3 linked regions of the Anolis sagrei genome follow. The protein of the gene in region 3 binds, or shares a complex with, the protein of the main gene of each other region. Links are inferred from orthologs where the notes say so. Each region holds a gene or a part of one and is shown on either strand. Other genes may lie near its edges.

What was found. Proteins that work in one complex are often made in the same cells at the same time.
Region 1: POLR3D (region 3) and POLR3K share a complex: the UniProt entries of both Homo sapiens proteins name them as parts of the RNA polymerase III complex. The link is inferred for Anolis sagrei from reciprocal best matches to the Homo sapiens genes POLR3D and POLR3K.
Region 2: POLR3D (region 3) and CRCP share a complex: the UniProt entries of both Homo sapiens proteins name them as parts of the RNA polymerase III complex. The link is inferred for Anolis sagrei from reciprocal best matches to the Homo sapiens genes POLR3D and CRCP.

What each region holds. Positions count from the first base shown.
Region 1 is NC_090035.1:14,606,753-14,614,309, forward strand, and holds POLR3K (DNA-directed RNA polymerase III subunit RPC10), read right to left. Parts: upstream 2,849-7,557; coding exon 2,738-2,848; intron 2,646-2,737; coding exon 2,558-2,645; intron 1,796-2,557; coding exon 1,668-1,795; 3' UTR 1,346-1,667; downstream 1-1,345. Other genes in the region: general transcription factor 3C polypeptide 1, read left to right, coding at 543-779; SNRNP25 (U11/U12 small nuclear ribonucleoprotein 25 kDa protein), read left to right, coding at 2,900-3,010, 3,177-3,273, 6,064-6,169, 6,274-6,348, 6,589-6,643. UniProt on the Homo sapiens protein: Core component of RNA polymerase III (Pol III) which synthesizes small non-coding RNAs using the four ribonucleoside triphosphates as substrates. Can mediate Pol I proofreading of the nascent RNA transcript.
Region 2 is NC_090031.1:27,643,330-27,651,722, reverse strand, and holds the start of CRCP (DNA-directed RNA polymerase III subunit RPC9), read left to right. Parts: upstream 1-4,548; 5' UTR 4,549-4,641; coding exon 4,642-4,649; intron 4,650-4,655; exon of another isoform or gene 4,656-4,731; coding exon of another isoform or gene 4,732-4,733; intron 4,734-7,730; coding exon 7,731-7,767; intron 7,768-8,180; coding exon 8,181-8,279; intron 8,280-8,393. UniProt on the Homo sapiens protein: DNA-dependent RNA polymerase catalyzes the transcription of DNA into RNA using the four ribonucleoside triphosphates as substrates.
Region 3 is NC_090027.1:1,455,794-1,463,769, forward strand, and holds the start of POLR3D (DNA-directed RNA polymerase III subunit RPC4), read right to left. Parts: upstream 3,823-7,976; 5' UTR 3,711-3,822; intron 3,666-3,710; exon of another isoform or gene 3,426-3,665; intron 1-3,425. UniProt on the Homo sapiens protein: DNA-dependent RNA polymerase catalyzes the transcription of DNA into RNA using the four ribonucleoside triphosphates as substrates.

The DNA of each region.
Region 1 (7,557 bases), on a different chromosome or scaffold from region 3:
GTCCTCCTCTGGGAGTGCGAAGGGTGGGGTATAAGTACAGTAAGTAAGTAAGTAAGTAAGGTTTGCTAATTGCACAGTGGCAGATAAGGTGCTCCAGAGGGTTACTTACCATGACTGTCCAGAGAATTATTGGTTGCCTTCTCCCCTCTTTGAAATAACTTTATAATGCCTGCTGCCTTTAAAAAGCTCAAAACATTATTAAGGATCCATCTAACCCTAGATATTATTATCTCTTTTTGAATTATTACCATCTGGCAGATGGGATGTGATGATAAAAACAAGGACAAATAGGCTGAGAGAGAGCTTTTATCCTGGAGCTGAGACTATATTGGGCTCTATGTTTTTACACTGATATGTGGCATTTAGGGCTGTGCAATAGTGATTAAAATGTGTAAGGATGGATGTTTTGTAATTCTACATATATAATGAGCATTGGGGTGGCATTTAATTTTATTGTACGATGTACAATGACAATAAAGTTATTCCTATTCTATTCAAGACCCCCAAAATGGCTTTCTCCCCCTCCCTCCCTCTCTCTGCAGGGACTGGAGTCACTGGGCTGCATCCGGAGGCGCTGCCTGGCCCCCCAGCGGCCGGTCTCCCTCTTCTCGGCCCCTGCCCCAGAGGAGGAGAATCCCCCATGGGCTCCCCGCAGGCTGAGCGAAGAGGAGGAAGAGGCCCCCTTTTATGAACCCTGCCTGGAAGCTGCCCTCAAGATGGGGAGAGTATTCCCCTACGAGACCAACTGGAACAAATGGGGCTCGGCTGGGGGGCCCTGATCCCTTGGAAGCCACCTCCTATTTTGTAAATAAAGCAAGAGTGTCTCTTTTACAGAGTCCCTTCTCCTATAATGTTGCTGTGGCATCAAGTGTCAATACCTGGTGAATATTTGCTTTTTATGTTTGGAATTCACCCTAAGTCCCTTCAGGGAGATAGGGTGGAATATAAATACTTAGGCCATCCCTCATAGCTCGAGGATGATAGTCTTCCAGATGTGGTGTCTTTATATAAATAAAGATGATACTGACACAATATTTTGTTTATATTCTGCCCTATCTCCCCAGAGGGACTCAGGGCAGATTCCAAACATAAAAGGCAAATATTCAATGCCCGAACACAACAACAATACACCCATAGTGTATAAATAAAGATTATTGTTGTTATTATTATTATTTCCTGTGTTGAGCATGCTGCAGCCCCCATCCCAGCCTCAGGCCCTCAAAGCCCCAAATTCCTCAGCCCGGAGCAATAGTTCCCAAACTTTATTTGACTAGGGACCACTTTGACTAGGGACCACTCTCCAACATTAGTACCAAAAGGGTTACGAATCAGTTTTTGGTCAACATTAGGTTCGGTTTGTTTATTTGGGGTGCTGATTCAGATAATTGCATTGGATAGACCACATCAGCTCTAATTTCTGATACAGAACGTATGCCATCCAGTAGTCGCCATCTGCTTGCTCACAGAAAACCATATTTAATAAGTATCGGCACTATAAGAGGGTTTCACGACCATTAGCTCTCATTGCAATGTTGCAGTAACAGTGAGGCCGTGGAACATATTTTAGTTCTTGCGAACCACTGGTGGTCCACGGAACACAGGTTAGGAACCACTGGCTTAGAGGTAGGAAGGGTTGGAGGCCCTGGCCCCACCTGAACCCTGCGCCCTCAGTCCCGCCATCGGTGCCCACATTGGGGACTGCAGCACTTGTAGAAGGTTGTCATGGGTTCGTCGGCAGAGCGCGTCTGGAGCTGCATGAAGAAGGCGCGCGGGTGCTCACACTTGGGACAGGGCTCTGTGGGGCAAGGAAGGAATTATTGTAAATATAAAATTATATTATTATTATTATTATTAGAAATACAATAAGATGAGTCCACAGCAAATACTCTGCTGGCTGTTTTATTGGATCACACGTCGACACTTCCCAAGTGTCCAGGACTGTGTGATGTATCAGCGAATAATGCGTGCAGATCCAAGTAGGGTGGCCTTTTGCAGCTGGCAGATGGTAATTTTGTCAGCCCAATTGTGTTTAAGTACAGGCCAAGGTCTTTAAGCACTGCACCCAGTGTGCCGATCACCATTGGGACCACCTTGACTGGTTTGTGCCAGAGTCTTTGCAGTTCTATTATTATTATTAATTGGGTTGTTGTAGGTTTTTTTGGGCTATATGTCCATTTTCTAGAAGCATTTTCTCCTGATGTTTCACCTGCATCTATGGCAAGCATCCTCAGAGGTAGGGTGGCTTTTTTACAGCTGGCAGATAGTAATTTTGTCAGCACCGATTGTGTTTAAGTGCAGGCCAAGGTCTTAGGCACTGCACCCAGTGTGCCGATCACTGAGACCACCTGGATTTGCTTGTACCAGAGTTTAATCTTTAAATCATATTGTGTCAGCTTTTCCAGTTGTTCCTCTTCAATCATTAATATCTTATCCTTATTATTATCATTATTAATGGAGCCAATGGTGGCACAGTGGGTTAAACCACTGAGCTACTAAACTTGCTAACCCTAGCCCCGCCCCCTCGCTCTCCCAGGCCCCGCCCCTTTCGGTGACGCACCTGCCGTGGAGTCCACGTTCTCCCAGGCCGCGGCCCCGCCCAGCACGTCGTCCACTTCCTTCAGCTTCGGGTAGCGCCGGCTTGTTACCTAGCAACGGAAAGAGGGGGGGAAAGGTGAGCGAAGGCCGAGGAGGAGGAGGGAGGGAAGGAGAGAGGGAGCGGCCCCGCCCCTTGACGTGCCTTGCGCGTGACGTTGCGGACGTAGGGGCACGTAGTGCAGGCGAAGCGGTGGCAGCGCGGCCCCTCTTCGGCCACCAGGACGTTCCCGCAGGCCGGGCAGAACAGCAGCATCCTCTCTCCTCACCTTCCGTTTCCGCTCTCCCCTCACAAACCGGAAGCGTGATGGAGGAGGAAGAGGAGGAGGAGGAAGCACACGCGGACGTGCTGGAGCTCTGGCAGGAAGGACTCGCCCGACTGGTCCAGGACCCGCTGCTCTGTGACCTCCCAGTTCAGGTGGGCTGGGCACTGGGCGGGAGGCGTGGCCTACAGAGAAGGGGGCGGGGCATTGTTTGTGGGCAACATAGAAGGGGCGGAGCCTGATAATAAAGGGGCGGGGCATACGATGAAGGGCGGGACATGGGCCTGTCATTCACCCGCTCCCTCTCTCCCTATCTCCCAGGTGACCCCCGAGGAGATCAGCTCGCAAGTGGCGCTGGAGTACGGGCAAGCCATGACAGTGCGCGTGCGCAGAGCCGACGCCCCCGAGGCACCAATGCGTAAGTGCCAGGAGAGGCGTGGGCGGGGCCTAGTGGCCCAAATAGTGAGGCGCCTCTGTGGGCGGGGCTCAGAGGCGTGGGCGGGGCCTCAGAGGCGTGGGCGGGGTCTAATCGCCCAAATAGTGGGGCCCCTCTGTGGGCGGGGCCTAGGGGCGTGGGCAGGGCCTCAGAGGCGTGGGCGGGGTCTAATGGCCCAAATAGTAATGCCCTCTGTGGGCGGGGCCTAGAGGCGTGGACGGGGCCTCAGGGGTGTGGGCGAGGCCTAGTGGACCAAATAGTGACGCCCTCTGTGGGCGGGGCCTAGAGGCGTGGGCGGGGCCTAGAGGCGTGGGCGGGGTCTAGTGGCCCAAATAGTGAAGCCCTCTGTGGGCGGGGGTCTAGATGTGTGTCCGGGGCCTCAGTGGCGTGGGCGGGGTCTAATGGCCCAAATAGTAATGCCCTCTGTGGGCGGGGCCTAGAGGCGTGGGCGGGGCCTCAGAGGCGTGGGCGGGGTCTAATGGCCCAAATGGTGAGGCCCTCTGTGGGCGGGGCCTAGTGGCCCAAATAGTGAGGCGCCTCTCCTGCTCTCTCCTCCTTCCCTCCTATAACATACTACTACTGTTATTATTATATATTTAATATATTTTATATGTAATATTACTAATATTATTACAATATAATGGTATAGTACAATTTCTCCTGACGTTTCGCCCACATCTATGGCAAGCATCCTCAGAGGTGGGGAGGTCTGTTGGAAAACTAGGAAAATGGGGATTATATATCTGTGGAATAATGCCCAGGGTGGGAGAAAAAACTCTTGTCTGTTTCAGGCAGGTGGGAAGGTTGCAATTGGCCACCTTGATTAGCATTTAATGGCCGTGCAGTTTCAAGGTCTGGCTGCTTACTGCCTGAAACAGACAAGAGTTTTTTCTCCCGACCCTGAGCCCTTGTTTTATTGATATTGTTTTAACTTGTTATTAGAGCTGTCGGCAGTGCAATGGGTTAAACCAGGGGTCCTCAGACTAACGCCAGGGAGCCAGATACGGCCCTCCAAGGTTATTTACCTGGCTCTCGCTCAGGGTCAACCTCAGTCTGAAACGTGTTGAAAGCACACAATAACAACAGCAATCCTATCTCATCAGCCAAAAGCAGGCCCACACTTCCCATTGAAGTCCCCCCAGGGCTGGGTGAGAAAGGCAGTATATAAATACTGTAAATAAAAATAAATTTTAATACGAATAAGATTACATTTGTTAAAATTGTTCTTCATTTTAATTACTGTATTGTTTTTAAGTGTTTTTTGCACTACAAATAAGATATGTTCATTGTGCGTAGGAATTCATTCATGTTCTTGAGTGGAACTCTCTGCCCCGGAGTGTGGTGGAGGCTCCTTCTTGGAAGCTTTTAAACAGAGGCTGGATGGCCATCTGTCAGGGGTGCTTTGAATGCAATATTCCTGCTTCTTGGCAGGGGGTTGGACCGGATGGCCCATGAGGTCTCTTCCAACTCTTTGATTCTATGATTCTATGAAATTATAATCCGGCCCGCCAACAGTTTGAGGGACTTTGACCTGGCCCTAAGATTTAAAAAGTTTGAGGACCTCTGGGTTAAACCCTTGTGCTAGCAGGATTGCTGACCGAAAGGTCGGTGGATCGAATCCAGGGAGTGGTGTGAGCTCCCGTCTGTCAGCTCCAGCTTCCCATGCAGGGACATGAAAGAACCTTCCCACAAGATGATAAAACATTTGGGCAACGTCCTTGTAGACGGCCTATTCTCTCACACCAGAAGCGACTTGCAGTTCCTCAAGTCATTGCTGGCATATATATATATATATTACTAGCTGTCCCCTGCCACTCGTTGCTGTGGCCCAGTCTGTTGATCTGGAAAATGGCCTTGGATGGCCTTAAGTATTTTCTGTTGGTCATGGGGGTTCTGTATGGGAAGTTTGGCCCGATTCTGTCATTTGTGGGGTTCCGAATGCTCTTTGATTATAGGTGAACTGTGAATCCCAGTGACTACAACTCCCAAATGTCAAGGTCTATTTTCCCCAAACTCCACCAGTGTTCACATTTGGGCATACTGAATATTTGTTCCAAGTTTGGTCCAGATCCATCATTGTTTGGGTCCACAGTGATCTCTGGATGTAGGTGAACTACAACTCCCAAACTCAAGGTCAATGCCCACCAAACCCTTCCAGTATTTTCTGTTGGTCACGGGAATTCTGTGTGCCAAGTTTGGTTCAATTCCATCGTTGATGAAGTTCAGAATGTTCTTTGATTGTAGGTGAACTATAAATCCCAGCAAATACAACTCCCAAATGACAAAATCATAATTTTTGAGTGACGGTCACTCCTTGTGTTGTGAGATGTTTTGTTGCCAAATTTGGTGGATTTCGTTCATTGATTGTTTTGTTTTTAAGGTACTCATTATGCACAGAGCATTTATATTATTATTATTATTATTATTATTATTATTGCTTCTGTTTTGATTTGTATGATTGTTGAATGTGTTGTATTGTCTTCTTGAATTTGTTGTATTTTTTATGGCATTGAACTGCCTTGTTTGTTGTGAGCCGCCCTGAGTCCCCTTGGGGAGATAGGGTGGGATAGAAATAAAGTTTTACTCACTTATCAGTTTTACTTACTTTACACACTGTATCATTCATATGTAATTACTGTATGTATTCTCGTTTGTTGGGGCATCTAATTGTGCTGGCTATAAGCCGCCCTGAGTCCTCCTACGGGGGTTGAGAAGGGCGGGGTACAAGTGTTTGAAATAAATAAATACTAAATACTCCCTCTCTCCTTTCAGCGGTGGTGGTGGTGCAGAATGCCAGCATCCTGGACCTGAAGAGGGCCCTCCGGCGGTTTGTGCAGCTGCGGCAGGAGCGTGAGGGGGGCATCCAGCACATCAGCTGGTGGGTCCTGCTTCCGTGGGGCAGGAGAGGGGAGGGGGCAAGGTCAGGCAGAGCCAGCTCCACCCCTCCTCCTTGTCCTTAAGCCTCTCCTCCCTACCTGACAGGAAATACCTGTGGCGCACCTACTGCCTGACCTTCGGTGGAGAGAAGCTGACAGACGACCGGAAGAAGCTGAGAGAGTGAGTCTGTGGTGCCCTGGTACCCCTTGTGGATCCCATGCCCATACTCTGGCCTGCTTGCAGTGGGACCAGGCTCAGCCAGGTGGGGGGCAGGTGTGCTACGTGCTGAGGAAGGAGGTGCCCGAGGCTTCTGGCTGCAGTCCTTCACCCCCTTTGCCTTGCCACCCTCTTTGTGGGCCTTTCTGAGGGCCTGAGTCCCTGGGAGAGGAGGAGTCCTAATGTGCACAACGTTTTCCCCAGGTATGGCATCCGCAACCGGGATGAAGTCACCTTTGTGAAAAAGATCCGGAAGTGAGTCCCCAGGCAAGCCTCTGCATGGCCTTGAAGGGAAAGAGGCCCTCTTGGGAACTATAGGAGCATCCGAGGGGAGGCTTCCCATGAGCCCCTGAAGCCCAGGTACTAACCAGGGGACCAGAGGCACCTGCCTGCCTGCCTTTCTCCGTTTGGAGGGCAGGGCCAGGTCCCTCTCCCTGAACGGGGCTGGGAGCCTTCCTGACCAGTGCTGGCCAGAGGGTGGGTGCAAGGGATTAAGCATCATCTGTTGGATTTGTAATAAAGCTTGAGTAGTAACTGCTTGTTTACACTTTTATACAGAATCCCAAGTTGTTGTAGAGGGTTAGGGTGGTCGCAGAAAGCCAAGCTGAGAAGGAAGCCCCAATTCTATGACTGCTAAGAATGTTGCTTTGGGTCAAGCGTAGCTCTGTGGGCTTTGGCCAGCGCTCCCCCCATAGAAGACCAAGGCTATGCTAAGCCCCTCCCACCAGGAAGTCCCCTCAACACATGCTCTTTCAATCAGTAACCCAGTAGCACTTGGGGAGGTGTTTTCATAGTGAAGGAGCTCCCAGTGGTGCAATGGGTTAAACCCTTGTGCTGGCAGGACTGAAGACTGACAGGTTGCAGGTTTGAATCTGGGGAGAGCGTGGATGAGCTCCCTCTGTCAGCTCCAGCTCTCCATACAGGGACATGAGAGAAGCCTGGACACAAATATAGTCATTTTGAGGATTATTAGTATTATTGTACTTCAAGGAGCCCCCGGTGGCGTAATAGGTTAAACCAGTGGTTCTCAACCTGTGGGTCCCCAGGTGTTTTGGCCTACCATTCCCAGAAATCGCAGCAAGTTTACCAGCTGTGAGGATTTCTGGGAGTTGAAGGGCAAAACATCTGGGGACCCACAGGTTGAGAACCAGTGGGTTAAACCCTTGTGTCAGC
Region 2 (8,393 bases), on a different chromosome or scaffold from region 3:
ATCTGCAAGGATGTTGCCCAGGGGACGCCCAGATGTTTTGATGTTTGACCATCCTTGTGGGAGGCTTCTCTCATGTCCTTGCACGGAGCTGGAGCTGACAGAGAGAGCTCATCTGCACTCTCCACAGATTCGAACCTGTGACCTATAGGTCTTCAGTCCAACCAGCATAAGGGTTTAACCCACTGCACCATCGGGGGCTCCTGTAATAATAATAATAATAATAATAATAATAATAATAAAAATAATGTTAAGTTGGTAGAGGTGTGTATGAAAATGATGATGATAATAATAGTAGTAACAATAAAGATAATAATTTGGTAGAGGAGAGATGGGTTAATAATAATAAATAATAATTTGCAAAGGATGATAGTAATTATTATTATTTGGTAGAGAAGTGTGATAATATAACAATAATAACAGCAATAATAACATAGAGAAGAGGTGGGTAAGAAAATAATAACAACTTAGTAGAGAAAAGGTTAATAATAATAATAATAATAATAATAATGTGGTAGAGAAGAGGTGGATAAGAAAATAATAATAATAATAATAATAATAATAATAATCATCATCATCATTATCATCCGGTAGAGAAGAGATGTGTAAGAAATTAATAATAATAATAATAATAATAATAATAATAACTTGGTAAAGAAGAGGTGTGAAAGAAAATAATAATAATGTGATAGAGAAGTGGGTAAATAATAATAATAATAGATGCTGATGATAGTAAGAAGAGGAAGAAGACAGCGAGGAGGAGGAAGAAGTGCAGTTTAGAAATCTGGAAGGGGAAAAGCAGGTTATTATTATTAATATTATAAATAATAATAATAATAATAATAATGGCAGCCCAGGAATCTGGAGGTCCACGTGATGGCCACCCATTTTCTCGTGTCTTCAGCAACCTCTTTCTATGGATAAGCCCTTTGTGTGATACGTGTTATTCTTACATTGACGTATAGAAAAACGGTTGCCCCGCTCAATGGGGGGAAAGCAACAAAAAGGGAGCCAATAAAGGAAAGGGTCCAGTCTGCATTTCCTGCGTGAATGGCAGGGTCAGCGCCCTCGTTTCCAAAGCAAGGATGACAAGGGAGCCAAAAAGACAAAGCCACCCATGAGGCCGCTGGGCATTGTGTTTCCTGAATGAGCCAGAAAGAAAGGAAGGAAGGGATGAAAAGAGAGGAAGAAAAAAGGGGCTTCTCTCCAGCCCTCCATCTATCTATCTATCCATCCATCCATCCGCTGAGTTGGCACACTTTCCCCAGGCATGAATGGGGGCCCCCCTGCATGCGTGTGCGCTTTCCAATTCTGTCCCTTGCACGCACGCACAACACGGAAAGACTTTGGAGCCATCAGCAAATACTCCTACTAATAAAAAGGTAAAGGTCAAGGTTTTCCCCTTGACATGAAGTCCAGCCATGTCCGACTCTCGGAGTTGGTGCTCATCTCCATTTCTAAGCCAAAGAGCCGGCATTGTCCATAGACACCTCCAAGGTCATGCGGCTGGCATGACTGCATGGAGCACTGTTACCTTCCTGCTGAAGAGGTACTCACATTTGCATGTTTTTAAACTGCTAGGTTAGCAGAAGCTGGGGCTCATAGCGGAGCTCACCCCAATCCCCGGATTTGAACCGCCATCCTTTTATTCAACAAGATCAGCAGCTCAGCGATTTAACCCGCTGCACCACTGGGGCTCCTATTAATACTACTACTAATAATAATGGCACTATCTTTCATGAGAAAGAGAGAGGTGGAAAAGGGCACAAAGGTGTGTAAGAAGGAAGGAAGGAGAGAGAGAGAAGGAAAGAAGGAATGAAAAGAAGGAAGGAAGGAAGGAAAGAAAGAAAGGAGGGAAGAAAGAAGAGAAGGAAGGAAAGAAGGAAGGAGAGAAGGAAGGAAAGAAGGAGGGAAGGAAGGAGAGAAGGAAGAAAGGAGAGAGAGAAGGAAGGAAAGAAAGAAGGAGAGAAGGAAGAAAGGAGGGAGAGAAGGAAGGAAAGAAAGAAGGAAAGACAAAAGGAGGGAAGGAAGGAATAAGGATGGAGAGAAGGAAGGAAGGAGAGAAAGAAGAAAAGAGGGAGACTAGGAAGGAAGGAAGGAAGGAAGGAAGGAAGGAAGGAGAGAAGAAAGGAAAGAAGGAGGGAAGGAAGGAGAGAAGGAAGAAAGAAGGGAGAGAAGGAAGGATGGAAAGAAAGAAAGACAGAAGGAAGGAAGGAAGGAAGGAAGGAAGGAAAAATTAAGGATGGAGAGAAGGAAGGAAGGAGAGAAAGAAGAAAGAAGGGAGAGAAGGAAGGAAGGAAAAAAGGAGGGAGGGAAGGAAGGAAGGAAGGAAGAAGGAAGGAAGGAGTGAAGGAAAGAAAAAAGAAGGAAGGAAGAAGGAAGGAAGGAAGGAAGAAAAGAAGAAAGGAGAGGAAGGAAGAAAGGAGGGAGAGAAGGAAGGAAGGAAGGAAGGAAGGAAGGAAGGAAGGAAGGAAGGAAGGAAGGAAGGAGAGGCTCCTTTCCCTAAAGCCGGAAATACACATGATATGATATGGTATAATAAGATACGATAAAGGAGCCCCCAGTGGCACAGTGAGTTAAACCGCTGAGCTGTTGAACTTGCTGAGTGAAAGGTTGGTGGTTCGAATCCAGAGAGTGGAGTGAGGTCCTGCTGTTAGCCCAGCTTCTGCCAACCTAGCAGTTCGAAAACATACAAATGTGAGTAGATCAATAGTACTGCTTCAGCGGGAAGGTAAGGGTGCTCCATGTAGTTATGTCAGCCACTTGGCCTTGGAGGTGTCTACGGATAACTCTGGCTCTTCGGCTTGGAAATGGAGATGAGTACCAGCCTCCAAAGTTGGACACAACTGGACTTAATGTCAGGGGAAAACCTTTACCTTGTACTAAGATATGATATACCTATGAATTGGACCTCCGTCACAGATGCTGAAAGGCCTGGACCATCTAAAAGGGAAGAATAGCAGGCCTCCTCCTCCTCCATGGGCGCTCAAAAGCCTTAATAATATAAAAGGAAATAAGAGGTGTTTGTTAATGCCCTTAGACCACAGTTCATTTGCATACAAAACAAGTCAACACAACACAACACAATTGGCATCTAGATCTGGCCTAGTAACCTTCAATGGCATGAAAGGTGGGAGAGATGCCAATGTTTTGCACTGATTCGCTGCCAAAAAGGGCTGCTGCCAAGTCCGACCTCTTCCATGGACGCTAAAAGGAAATCATAGGAGAGTTCTTAAATGTTCTTAAAGGCCATAGAAGTCAATGCAAGGCAGCAGGCTCTCCCTTCATTCAAAGTATCTATAGGGTTAAGTAGATGGAGTAATAATAATAATAATAATAGTCTCTTAATTAACTGCCCCCCATGGGAATTGGTAGATATGCAATAATAATAATAATAATAATAATAATAATAATAATCTTTCAATCAACTGGCCCCCATGGGAATTGGTAGATATGACACAATAATAATAATAATAATAATAATAATAATAATAATAATAGTCTTTCAATTAACTGGCCCCCATGGAAACTGGTAGATATGCCATGATAATAATAATAATAATAATAATACTGTTTGGATCGTCGATGTTGCAATTCCAGGCGATAGCAGGATTGAAGAGAAAAAAAATGAGGATTTAAAGATCGATCTGCAAAGACTCTGGCCGAAGCCAGTCAAGGTGGTCCCAGTGGTGATTGGCACACTGGGTGCAGTGCCTCAAGACCTTGGCCTGCACTTAAACACAATCCGCGCTGACAAAATTATCATCTGCCAGCTGCAGAAGGCCTTTGAGGGGAATTTACCTTGATTTGAGGGAGTTGTAGTTCACCTATATCCAGGGAGCACTGTGAACCCAATGATGGATCTGGACCAAACTTGGCATGCATACCTGATATGCCCAAATTTGAATATTGGTGAGTTTTGAGGGGAATTCGTCTGTGTACTTTGGAGTTATAGATCCTGGGATTTATAGTTCACCTGCAATCAAGGAGTACTCTGAACTCCACCAATGACGGAATTTGACCATACTTGGCAAACAAAGCCCCCATGACCAGCAAAAAAAAACACTGGAGGCTTTGGAGGGATATTCACCTTGATTTGAGGGAGTTGTAGTTCACCTACATCCAGAGAGCACTAATGGATCTGGGCCAAACTTGGCACACAGACCTGATAGGCCGAAATTTAATGGCTGGAGGGGTTTGGGGGGAACTGACCTTCCTTTCTGCGGATTGGTAGATGCTATAAGAAGAAGAAGAATATATAATAATAATAATAGATTGTGAAGTGGGGCTTCTGATAGAAGTATCACAGCCCTAGACTCCAGTGGCTATTCTCCCGCCAAAAGTCTTGCAAGTGAAAGGCATTCTGGGAGTTGTAGTCCTTGAAGAAAGCGCCCTCCCTTCAGCCGGCCGTCTTCCCTCGCAAGGGCCACGCCTTCCCGCCTTCATCTCCCGGCGTCCTTAGCGCCTCGCTTTCTGCCTCATGCTTGAAGCCCCGCCCCCTTTCCTACCCTGCTTGTCTCCGCCCCCTTTCTCCTCTGTCTCGAAGCTCCACCCCTTTCCCAGTCTCCGCCCCTTTCCTCTCAGTCTCCTCCTCTTCCGGCCTGAAGTCCCGCCTTTTCCCTAATTCTCCTCCTGGGAAGCGAGATGGAAGTGTAAGTTGGAGGGAGGGAAGGAGGGGAAATGGCAGGAAAGCCAGGCCCAGGAGGCGAACCCGAGGGAATCTGAATTATTAATATGTATGTTTTGTTGCTTATAGAATTATTCATATTAAGCTATAGAGAGGAAATAGGATATATTAAGCCATAGAGAGGAGATGATGCTTCTACTATATATACATTTATATGTTCTATTTATATATGTATAACAGATTAAAATACAGAAATGTATATATTAATATATAATACATTATATATACTATACACATGTTAATATATATAGAGAGGTATATTACTTATATGCTTATATAGAATTCATATATATATATATATCACATTATATTAATATAATACTAAAATAATGTATGCAATATTATTTATATATGTATAACATTAAAATAAAGTAATGTATATATATATATAATACATAATATATACTACACACATATAAATGTATATAGAGAGGTATATTACTTAAATGCTTATATAGAATTCATGTATATACATATCACATTATATTAATATAATACTAAATATATGCAATATATGCTTTAATATATATTATATTAATCTGTATTAGAGAGGGATATTGCTTATATATGCATACATATCACATAATATATGCAATTATGTGATATCTATATATATAAGACATACATTATTTTAATATTAATATATAAAAATAATGTATCATATATATATATATACTTTAATGTATAGAGGGGATATTGATTAGATGCATATATATACACACACACACACACACACATACACATCACTTAATATATATTTATAATATATTAATATACATATATTAAAATAATGTATGTATAATATATATTGTTTAATGTACAGAGAGGGCTATTAATTAGATGCTTATATACATATATATTAATATAACAAAATAAAGTAATGTATGTATAATATATGTACTAACATTTATACATACATGTCACATATATATTAAAATTATATATATATATATATATATACACACATACATACATATACTGTATAGAGAGGGAGGGATAATGCTTATATGTCATATTATATATATACTATATTAATATATTAAAATGTATGTATTATATATATATATATACACTTTAATATATAGAGAGGGATATTGATGAGATGTTTACATACATATATGTACATATATATACACATACATATCACTTAATATATTAATATATAAGATAAAGCAATGTATGTATAATATATATATATATATATAAATTTTATATTATTAATTGTAATATCAATAATATGTAGGTTTTGTTGGTTCTTTTGCCGACCAAAAAGCCAACCACACACACACAGACATATATATCTATCTCCCCATAGGATTCCTCTTCATTCGAGCTTCCCAAGACTCCCAAAGAATTAAATATACAGTATAACATATATGGAGCAAAGCCACTGCTACGGCTGACGTGTCTTTGGGGTCAGCACAAAAAACGAAAACTCCCTTCTCAGCATATTTCCGGAAGGGGAGCCCCTCTTTTTTTTTGAATCCCCCCGATTTGTTTTTTTTAAAAAACAAAACACCAAAACAATGCGCCCAACCTGTGGAAGTTTGTGGAAGAGGCGGCGTGGAACTTGCCCCGAAAGTGATGAGCGCAGCGGGTTCGATTCAGAACTAAATCAAATACATTGTGCTTTTAGGTACGTGCGGGGCCCCCCGAGAAGCGCTTTTTGTGGCCGCCGCACTGTTGTTGTTTCTGCGCTCTTTGCTGGCTCAGCAGAAAAAAGGCCTTTGTCTCTGGGATGTATGGATGGATGGAGGGGGCCCTTCCGCACGGCCCTTCGGTGTTTTTGTTAATAGATAGATAGATAGATAGATAGATAGATAGATATGAACAAGATTCAGTTATGAACAAGATTCAGTCGGTTTGTTATTAAGGTGATCCATCATCTGTTAACTATCTATCTGTATCAATCCTCTCTCAACTATTTACCTTCTGTTAACTATCTATCTATCACCTGTCCGTCAATCATCTGCCAACTATATGTATCATCTGGTTTATTAATCATCTGCCAATTATTTATCTGTCTATCTTTCTATTATCTATCATCTGTCCATCAATCATCTACCAATTATCTATCTATGTATCTATCATCTGCCAACTATTTATCTATCATCTATCTATCATATGTCTATCAATCACCTGTCAACTATCTATCTATTAGTGTTTGTCTTCTCTCAACTCATTTTTCTATCTGTATTAATCATCTGTCAATCATCGAGCTATACAGATAAATCATCTCATATATCATCTATATCAATAATCTCTCAACTATCTTATCATCTGTCAACTATCATCTATTTATCAATGATTTGCCAACTATTATCTGTCTGTTTATCAATCATCTGTCAACAGTTTATCAACTATCAATTATCTGTCATCTATCTATCTATCTATCTGTTATCTATCAATCATCTATCGATTATCTGTCATCTATCTTTCATCTGCCTATCAATCTCCTGTCAACTATATTTCTGTTATGTTTCTATAACCTATCAATTATCTGTCAACTATCTATCTATCCATCTATTTATTATCTATCAATCATCTGTCAACAATCTGTCCTCTATCTTTCATCTGTCTATCAATCTCCTGTCAACGATCTTTCTGTTATGTTTCTATCATCTATCGATCATCTGTCAACTATCTTATCTTTCTATCTATAATTCTATTATCTTTAATCATCTGTCAACTATCTGTCATCTATCTTTCATCTGTCAGCTATCTTTGTTATGTTTCTATCTATTATCTATCAATCATCTGTCAACTATCTGTCAACTATCAATTATTTGCCAACTATCTATCATCTATCAATCATTTGTCTATCAATCACTTGTCAACTGTCTATCATCTATCTATCTTTTCATTTGTCTGGATTTTCCCAGCGTTCCTCTGGACACACATTATCTGACTTCAGCAAAATCTGGCTCGAAATGAGGAAGCTGCCCTTTAAGAAAATATCTCCTTTGGGCTTTGAAAACAGTCTGTCTTCTTGAGCCAGGATCGCCTGCATAAAGGCCTAATCCTGCCTGTTTGTTTTGTTGTGCAGGAAAGACGGAAATGCAGCCCTTCTGAGCAACTATGAGGTAAAACCATTTGTGGCATAATTAATTGGACTTCTGATGCCTTGTGTTTCATCTCTGCTCTGTGTATTTTCATATGCATTTTATCAAAGTACATTTCTATATGTGCATTTATAAGTTTTTACTATGTTTATGTGTTTTGATTATGCCGTAACCTGCCTTGAGCCAGGTTGCCCAAAGGCCCTCTCATAGAATGGCCATTTTGGAGCGTTTCGGATTCCCGGATAAGGGAGCTTCACAGTTGAAATGGGACCAAAGCGCTCTAAAAGTGCCATGCAGAACGGTCCCAGCAGAGGGTGGGAAACTCAACGGCGCCTCTCTTTTCCTGGCTTGGTTTACATAGCAATCGCGGATGGGAATGTTGTTGGAAAGTGCTTTGCGGCCCCCGTGAAAGAGCAAATCGGGTTTCCTTTCAGGTCTACCAGCTGCTGATGGACCTGAAGCAGCAGCGGCGAGAGATGGGGAAGAGCAAAGCGAGCGCCGGGCAGCAGAACCTGAACACCATCATGTACGAAGTGAGTCCTTTCGGGGGGTTCCTGGTATCCGTGGACATAGAAAACCCTCTGGTTTTGTTGCCTCTCTCTCTCACGCTATGTTTTCTTCCCTTGGAAAAATCCCCATTCTGACAT
Region 3 (7,976 bases):
GGTGTCAATTTGTCCAGTGGTTTTTGAGTTATGTCAATCCCACAAACGAACATGACATTTTTATTTATATAGACTAGCCGTCCCCTGCCACGCGTTGCTGTGGCCCACATGGGCGTTCTGTGTGGGAGGTCTGGCCCAATACTATCGTTGGTGGGGTTCAGAATGCTCTGTGGGTGTAGGTGAACTATAAATCCCAGCAACTACAACTCCCAAATGCCAAGATTCTATTTTCCCCAAACTCTATCAGTGTTCACATTTGGGCATATTGAGTATTCGTGTAGAGTTTGGTCCAGATCCATAAACTATGATTTTGTCATTTGGGAGTTGTAGTTGCTGGGATTTATAGTTCACTTATAATCAAAGAGCATTCTGAACCCCACCAACGTTGGAATTGAACCAAACTTGGCACACAGTTCTCCCATGACCAACAGGAAATACTGGAATTGTTTGGTGGGCAGTGTCCTTTGGTTTTGGAGTTGTAGTTCACCTACATCCAGAGAGCACTGTGGACTCAAACAATGATGAATCTGGACCAAACTCTACACGAATACTCAATATGCCGAGTATATCCATGCCGAGGCAACCCTCACAGGAGCGGCTCAGGACTTCATGTCCGCCATGGCAACCATGGGGCTGTCCCAACGAATAACTGGCCCCACCCACTGTGCTGGACACACATTGGACTTGGTCTTCTGCCAGGGATGGGAGCAGGGTGGCGGTGTGGAGGAGTTGTCCATCTCTCCGTTGCCATGGACCGACCACTTCCTGATCAGATTTAGGCTCACTGCGCCCCCTAACCTCCGCAAGGGTGGAGGACCCATTAAGATGGTCCGCCCCAGGAGGCTTATGGATCCGAATGGATTCCTGACGGCTCTTGGGGATTTTCCCGCCACCTCGGTAGGTGACCATGTCGAGGCCTTGGTCGCTCTCTGGAATGGGGAGATGACCAGGGCAATTGACAGGATCGCTCCGGAACGTCCTCTCTCGAGTAACCGAGCTAAACCAGCTCCTTGGTTCACTGAGGAGCTGGCAGCGATGAAGCGAAGGAAGAGGGTACTAGAGAGCGTGTGGCGCTCAGACCCAAGCGAGCCAAATCGAACACGGTTTGTGTCCTTTCTAAGGGCATATGCCGCGGCAATAAAGGCCGCAAAGAAAACTTTCTTTGCGGCTACTATTGCGTCTGCAAAAAACCGTCCGGCGGAGTTGTTTCGGATTGTCAGAGGTCTTTTAACTCCCCCTACCTCAGGTGGGAGCCCTGACAATTCGGCCACGCGCTGTGAAGCATTTGCTCGGTTCTTTGCAGACAAAGTCGCTTTGATCCGCTCTGGGCTGGACGCCACATTAAATGCAGTCTCTGTGGATGTGACACAAGCACCTGCTTGTCCTATTTTGTTGGATTCTTTTCAGTTTGTGAAGCCCGAGGATGTGGACAAGATACTTGGAGGAATGAGACCCACCACGTCCATCCTAGACCCCTGCCCATCCTGGCTTCTGAAGGAGGCCAGAGGGGGATTGGCCGAGTGGGTAACGGTGGTGGTTAATGCCTCCCTTCGGGAAGGCAAGATTCCAGCGAGCCTAAAACAGGCTGTTATAAAGCCGCTGTTGAAGAAACCATCATTGGATCCCACTAAATTTGACAACTTTCGGCCTGTTTCCAATCTTCCCTTCTTGGGCAAAGTCATGGAAAGCGTGGTGGCCTCACAACTCCAGGTATTCTTGAGAGACACGGATTATCTGGATCCGGCACAGTCTGGTTTCAGACCGGGACATGGTACCGAGACGGTCTTGGTCGCCTTAGTGGATGATCTGCGCCGGGAGCTAGACAGGGGGAGTGTGTCCCTGTTGGTGCTCCTGGACCTCTCAGCGGCCTTCGATACCGTCGACCACGGTATTCTTCTGGGGCGCCTTGCAGAGATGGGTCTTGGGGGCACTGCTTTGCAGTGGCTCCAGTCATTTCTGGAGGGTCGCACCCAGAAGGTGTTATTGGGGGACTCCTGTTCAACACCACAGCCGTTGACCTGTGGGGTTCCTCAGGGCTCCATCCTGTCCCCCATGCTGTTTAACATCTACATGAAGCCGCTGGGTGAGATCATCCGGAGTTTCGGGGTGCGGTGTCATCTGTACGCAGATGACGTCCAACTCTGTCACTCCTTTCCACCTGCTACTAAGGAGGCCGTCGAAGTCCTGAACCGGTGCCTGGCCGCTGTAATGGTCTGGATGAGGGCGAACAAACTGAAATTAAATCCAGACAAGACAGAGGTACTCCTGGTCAGTCGCAAGGCCGAGCAGGGTATAGGGTTACAGCCTGTGCTGGACGGGGTCGCACTCCCCTTGAAGGCGCAGGTTCGCAGCTTGGGTGTGACCCTGGATTCGTCGCTGAGCCTGGATCCCCAGGTTTCAGCGGTGACCAGGGGAGCATTTGCACAGCTTAGGCTTGTGCGCCAGCTGCGCCCGTATCTTGGGAAGTCTGACTTGGCCACGGTGGTACACGCTTTGGTCACATCCCGCCTCGACTACTGCAACGCTCTCTACGTGGGGCTGCCCTTGAAGACGGCCCGGAAGCTCCAGCTAGTCCAGCGCGCGGCAGCCATGTTGCTAACAGGAGCCGGGCGCAGGGAGCATACAACGCCCCTGCTGTCCCAGCTCCACTGGCTGCCGATTTGCTACCGGGCCCAATTTAAGGTGCTGGTGTTATCCTACAAAGCCCTAAACGGTTCCGGCCCAAAATACCTTGCAGACCGCATCTCGGCCTACGAGCCCACGAGGACCTTGAGATCATCCGGGGAGGCCCTTCTCTTGGTCCCACCTGCCTCACAGGCACGTCTGGCGGGGACGAGAGAGCGGGCCTTTTCGGTGGTGGCCCCCCGGCTGTGGAACGCTCTCCCTGCTGAAGTTAGACAGGCGCCCTCCCTTATGGCCTTCCGTAGGAGCCTGAAAACATGGCTCTTTGAGAGGGCTTTCAATTGAGTGCTATTCATTGGAAATGATGACCGGAATGGATCACGACTATGAAACTGATATGTCCCCATGATATGACGAAGCGGATTTTTAGTATAAGTATATGTTATGTAGTAGTAGATTGTTGTGTACTGTTTGATTTATTGTAAACTGTCTTTTCCATGTTATTGTTCACCGCCACGAGTCGCCCTAGGGCTGAGAGTGGCGGTCAATAAATGCAAGAAATAAATAAATAAATAATAAATAATATGCCCAAATGTGAACACTGGTGGAGTTTGGGGAAAATAGAATCTTGACATTTGGGAGTTGTACTTGCTGGGATTTATAGTTCACCTACAATCACAGAGCATTCTGAACCCCACCAACGATGGAATTGGGCCAAACCTCCCACACATGAACCCCCATGTGGGCCACAGCAACGCGTGGCAGGGGACGTCTAGTAGATTATATTATGTTATATTAATGACTGGCCATACACAATGCCCCTGGGCCTCTTCATAATGTTCTCCAGCCTTCTGCTGGCCCACCAGTATCAAATACTCACTGAGCCGCCATGTTTTTCGCTTTGACTCCAACTCCCAGAAGCCTCAGCCACTCCGTCCAATGAATAGGAATTCTGGGAGATGAAGTCCAAAACACCTCGCAAGGCCGCACACCGCCTCCAGGCCTCTGAAATGCAAAGCCAGGCTCCCACGGCTTTTAGGCCCGCTCCCCACAGAGGCAGGCACGCCCCACTTTCTCCCCGGACCCACCCGAGACGGAGCGAGGCTTCTTTCTCCGTTTCCAATGGCGCCGCTTCCCTCGAGGTCTCTCTCTCCGGCACACAGCCACGGTGCAGATCGCGGAGTGCGCATGCGCGGCAGGGCCTCCGCCATTTTTGAACCTGGCACGGTCCGCCCCTTTGCCATCTCCCCCATGTTTCCGAAGGAGGAAACTGCGAATCCGCCATATTTGTTTAAGGCTATCCGCCATTTTTAAACCTGGCATGGTCTGCCCCTTTGCCATCTCCCCCATGTTTCTGAAGGAGGAAACTGCGAATCCGCCATGTTTGTTTAAGGCAATGTTTCCGGGTTTGTTTGTTTTCACCACCCCAAGAAAGGAAGACACTGTTGAATGAATGGAGTTGATGCCAGTTTCATTGATTGGCACAACTCAATGCTATGGGGTTTGACAAATCTTTATTATTATTATTATTATTATTATTATTATTATTATTTCTTTTTATTTATATTATTATTATTATTATTATTATTATTATTATTATCTTGGGCCTTCTCTGCCTAAGATGCTGAGGCTTCATCAAACTATAACTCCCACAACTCCATAGCAGCACTGAGCCTTGGCAGTTAAAGTGGGCTCAAACTGCATTAATTCTACAGTGCAAATCGGGCATGGGCAAACATCCTGAGCTCTGAGGATGATTACCTGGGAAGGAATCCCACGGGAGCCTTGCAGCGCACCCAAATACCCGGGAGTCACTCTGGGCCGTGCTCTGACCTACAAGAAGCACTGCCTGAACATCAAGCAACAAGTGGGTGCTAGAAACAATATCATACGAAAGCTGACTGGCACAACCTGGGGGTCACAACCAGACACAGTGAAGACATCTGCCCTGGCGCGATGCTACTCTGCTGCTGAGTACGCATGCCCAGTGTGGAACACATCTCACCACGCTCAAACAGTGGATGTGGTTCTTCATGAGACATGCCGCATTATCATGGGGTGTCTGCGCCCTACACCACGGGAGAAATTACACTGCTTAGCCGGTATTGCACCACCTGACATTCGCCGGGAAGGAGCAGCCAATAGTGAAAGGACCAAGGCAGAGACATCTCCAGTTCATCCCCTGTTTGGGTATCAGCCAGCACGTCAACAACAAATCTAGAAATAGTTTTTTAAGATCTACAGAGACACTCATTGGAATACCACAGCAAGCAAGAGTCCAAAAGTGGCAGGCTCAAACCCAGAACCTCAACCAATGGCTGATACCAAATGAGAGACTCCCCCCTGGGCACACAGAAGAAGACGGGGTGACATGGAAGGCGCTGAACAGACTGCGCTCTGGCACCACGAGATGCAGAGCCCACCTTCAGAAATGGGGCCACAAAGTGGAATCCTCGACATGCAAGTGCGGAGAGGAGCAAACCACTGACCACCTGCTGCAATGCACCCTGAGCCCTGCCACATGCACAACGGAGGATCTTCTTGCGGCAACACCAGAGGCACTCCAAGGGGACAGAGACTGGTCAAAGGACATTTAACCAACTACCAAACTCACAAGTTTTGTATTATGTCTGTTTGCTTTGTTCTGTTAGAAATGTAATGTAATGGACTGCTTGCTCTGACACGACAAACAAACAAACCACCCCAAGAAAGGAAGACACTGTTGAATGAATGGAGTTGACGCCAGTTTCATTGATGCTATTAGACAACTCAATGCTATGGGATTTGACAAGGCTTTTTAATATTATTATTATTATTATTATTATTATTATTATTATTATTATTTATTGGGGCCTTCTCTGCCCAAGATGCTGAAGCCTCACCAAACTATAACTCCCACAACTCCATAGCAGCACTGAGCCTTGGCAGTTAAAGTGGGTTCAAACGGCATTAATTCTACAGTGCAGATCAGGCATTGGCAAACTTTGGCCCTCCTCCAGGTGTATTGGACTCCAACTCCCACAATTCCTAAGAGCCTACCGGCTGTTAGGAATTGTGGGAGTCGGAGTCCAAAACACCTGGAGGGAGGGCCAAAGTTTGGAGACTTCATAGAATCATAAGAGTTGGAGGGGACCCCCAAGGGCCATCCAGTCCAACCCCCCTCTGCCATGCAAAAGAAGCACAATCTAAGCACCCCCAAAAGATGGCCACCCAGCCTGTGTAATAATAATAATAACAACAACAATAATAATAATAATAATAATAATAATAGGAGCAACCCCAGGGACCATCCAGTCCAACCACCTTCTGCCATGCAGAAGAAGCACAATCAAAGCACCCCCAAAAGATGGCCACCCAGCCTGTGTAATAATAATAACAACAACAACAACAACAACAACAACAACAATAATAGGAGCAACCCCAGGGACCATCCAGTACAACCCCCTTCTGCCATGCAGAAGAAGCACAATCAAAGCACCCCCAAAAGATGGCCACCCAGCCTGTGTAATAATAACAATAACAACAACAACAATAATAATAATAGGAGCAACCCCAGGGACCATCCAGTCCAACCCCCTTCTGCCATGCAGAAGAAGCACAATCAAAGCACCCCCAAAAGATGGCCACCCAGCCTGTGTAATAATAACAACAACAATAACAACAACAACAATAATAGGAGCAACCCCAAGGACCATCCAATCCAACCGCCTTCTGCCATGCAGAAGAAGCACAATCAAAGCACCCCCAAAAGATAGCCACGCAAATAATACTAATACTAATAGGAACAACCCCAGGGGTCTTCCAACCTTAATAATAATAATCCCAGGCGACAGCTGGATTGACGAGAAGCAGCTGGAAAAGCTGACACGATATGAGGATTTAAAGATCAAACTGCAAAACTCTAGCACAAGCCAGTCAAGGTGGTTCCAGTGGTGATCGGCACACTGGGCACAGCGCCGCAAGACCTTGGCCTACACTTAAACACAATCGACGCTGACAAAATTGCCATCTGCCAGCTGCAAAAGGCCACCCTTCTGGGATCTGCATGCATTATTCACCGATACATCACACAGCCCTAGAAACTTGGGAAGTGTTCGACGTGGGATCAAATACAAAAGCCAGCACAGTGATCTTGTTCGCCATGTACTAATCTTGTTATGTATCTCTAATATTAATAATAATAGGAGCAACACCAAGGGTCATCCAGACCAACCCCCTTCTGCCACGCAGAAGAAGCACAATCAAAGCACCCCCAAAAGATGGCCACCCAGCCTGTGTAATAATAATAATAATAATAATAATAATAATAATAGGAGCAACACCAGGGACTATCCAGTCCAACCACCTTCTGCCATGCAAAAGAAGCACCATCAAAGTATCCCCAAAACATGATCACCCAGCCTGTGTCATAATAATAATAATAATAATAATAATAATAATAATAATAGGAGCAACCCCAGGGACCATCCAGTACAACCACCTTCTGCCATGCAGAAGAAGCACAATCAAAGCACCCCCAAAAGATGGCCACCCAGCCTGTGTAATAATAACAATAACAATAACAACAACAACAACAATAATAATAGGAGCAACCCCAGGGACCATCCAGTCCAACCGCCTTCTGCCATGCAAAAGAAGCACAATCAAAGCACCCCCAAAAGATGGCCATCCAGCCTGTGTAATAATAATAATAACAATAACAACAACAACAATAATAGGAGCAACCCCAGGGACCATCCAGTCCAACCACCTTCTGCCATGCAGAAGAAGCACAATCAAAGCACCCCCAAAAGATGGCCACCCAGCCTGTGTAATAATAACAACAACAATAACAACAACAATAATAATAGGAGCAACCCCAAGGACCATCCAATCCAACCGCCTTCTGCCATGCAGAAGAAGCACAATCAAAGCACCCCCAAAAGATAGCCACGCAAATAATACTAATACTAATAGGAACAACCCCAGGGGTCTTCCAACCTTAATAATAATAATCCCAGGCGACAGCTGGATTGACGAGAAGCAGCTGGAAAAGCTGACACGATATGAGGATTTAAAGATCAAACTGCAAAACTCTAGCACAAGCCAGTCAAGGTGGTTCCAGTGGTGATCTGCACACTGGGCACAGCGCCTCAAGACCTTGGCCTACACTTAAACACAATCGGCGCTGACAAAATTGCCATCTGCCAGCTGCAAAAGGCCACCCTACTGGGATCTGCATGCATTATTCACCGATACATCACACAGCCCTAGAAACTTGGGAAGTGTTCGATGTGGGATCAAATACAAAAGCCAGCACAGTGATCTTGTTCGCCGTGTACTAATCTTGTTATGTATCTCTAATATTAATAATA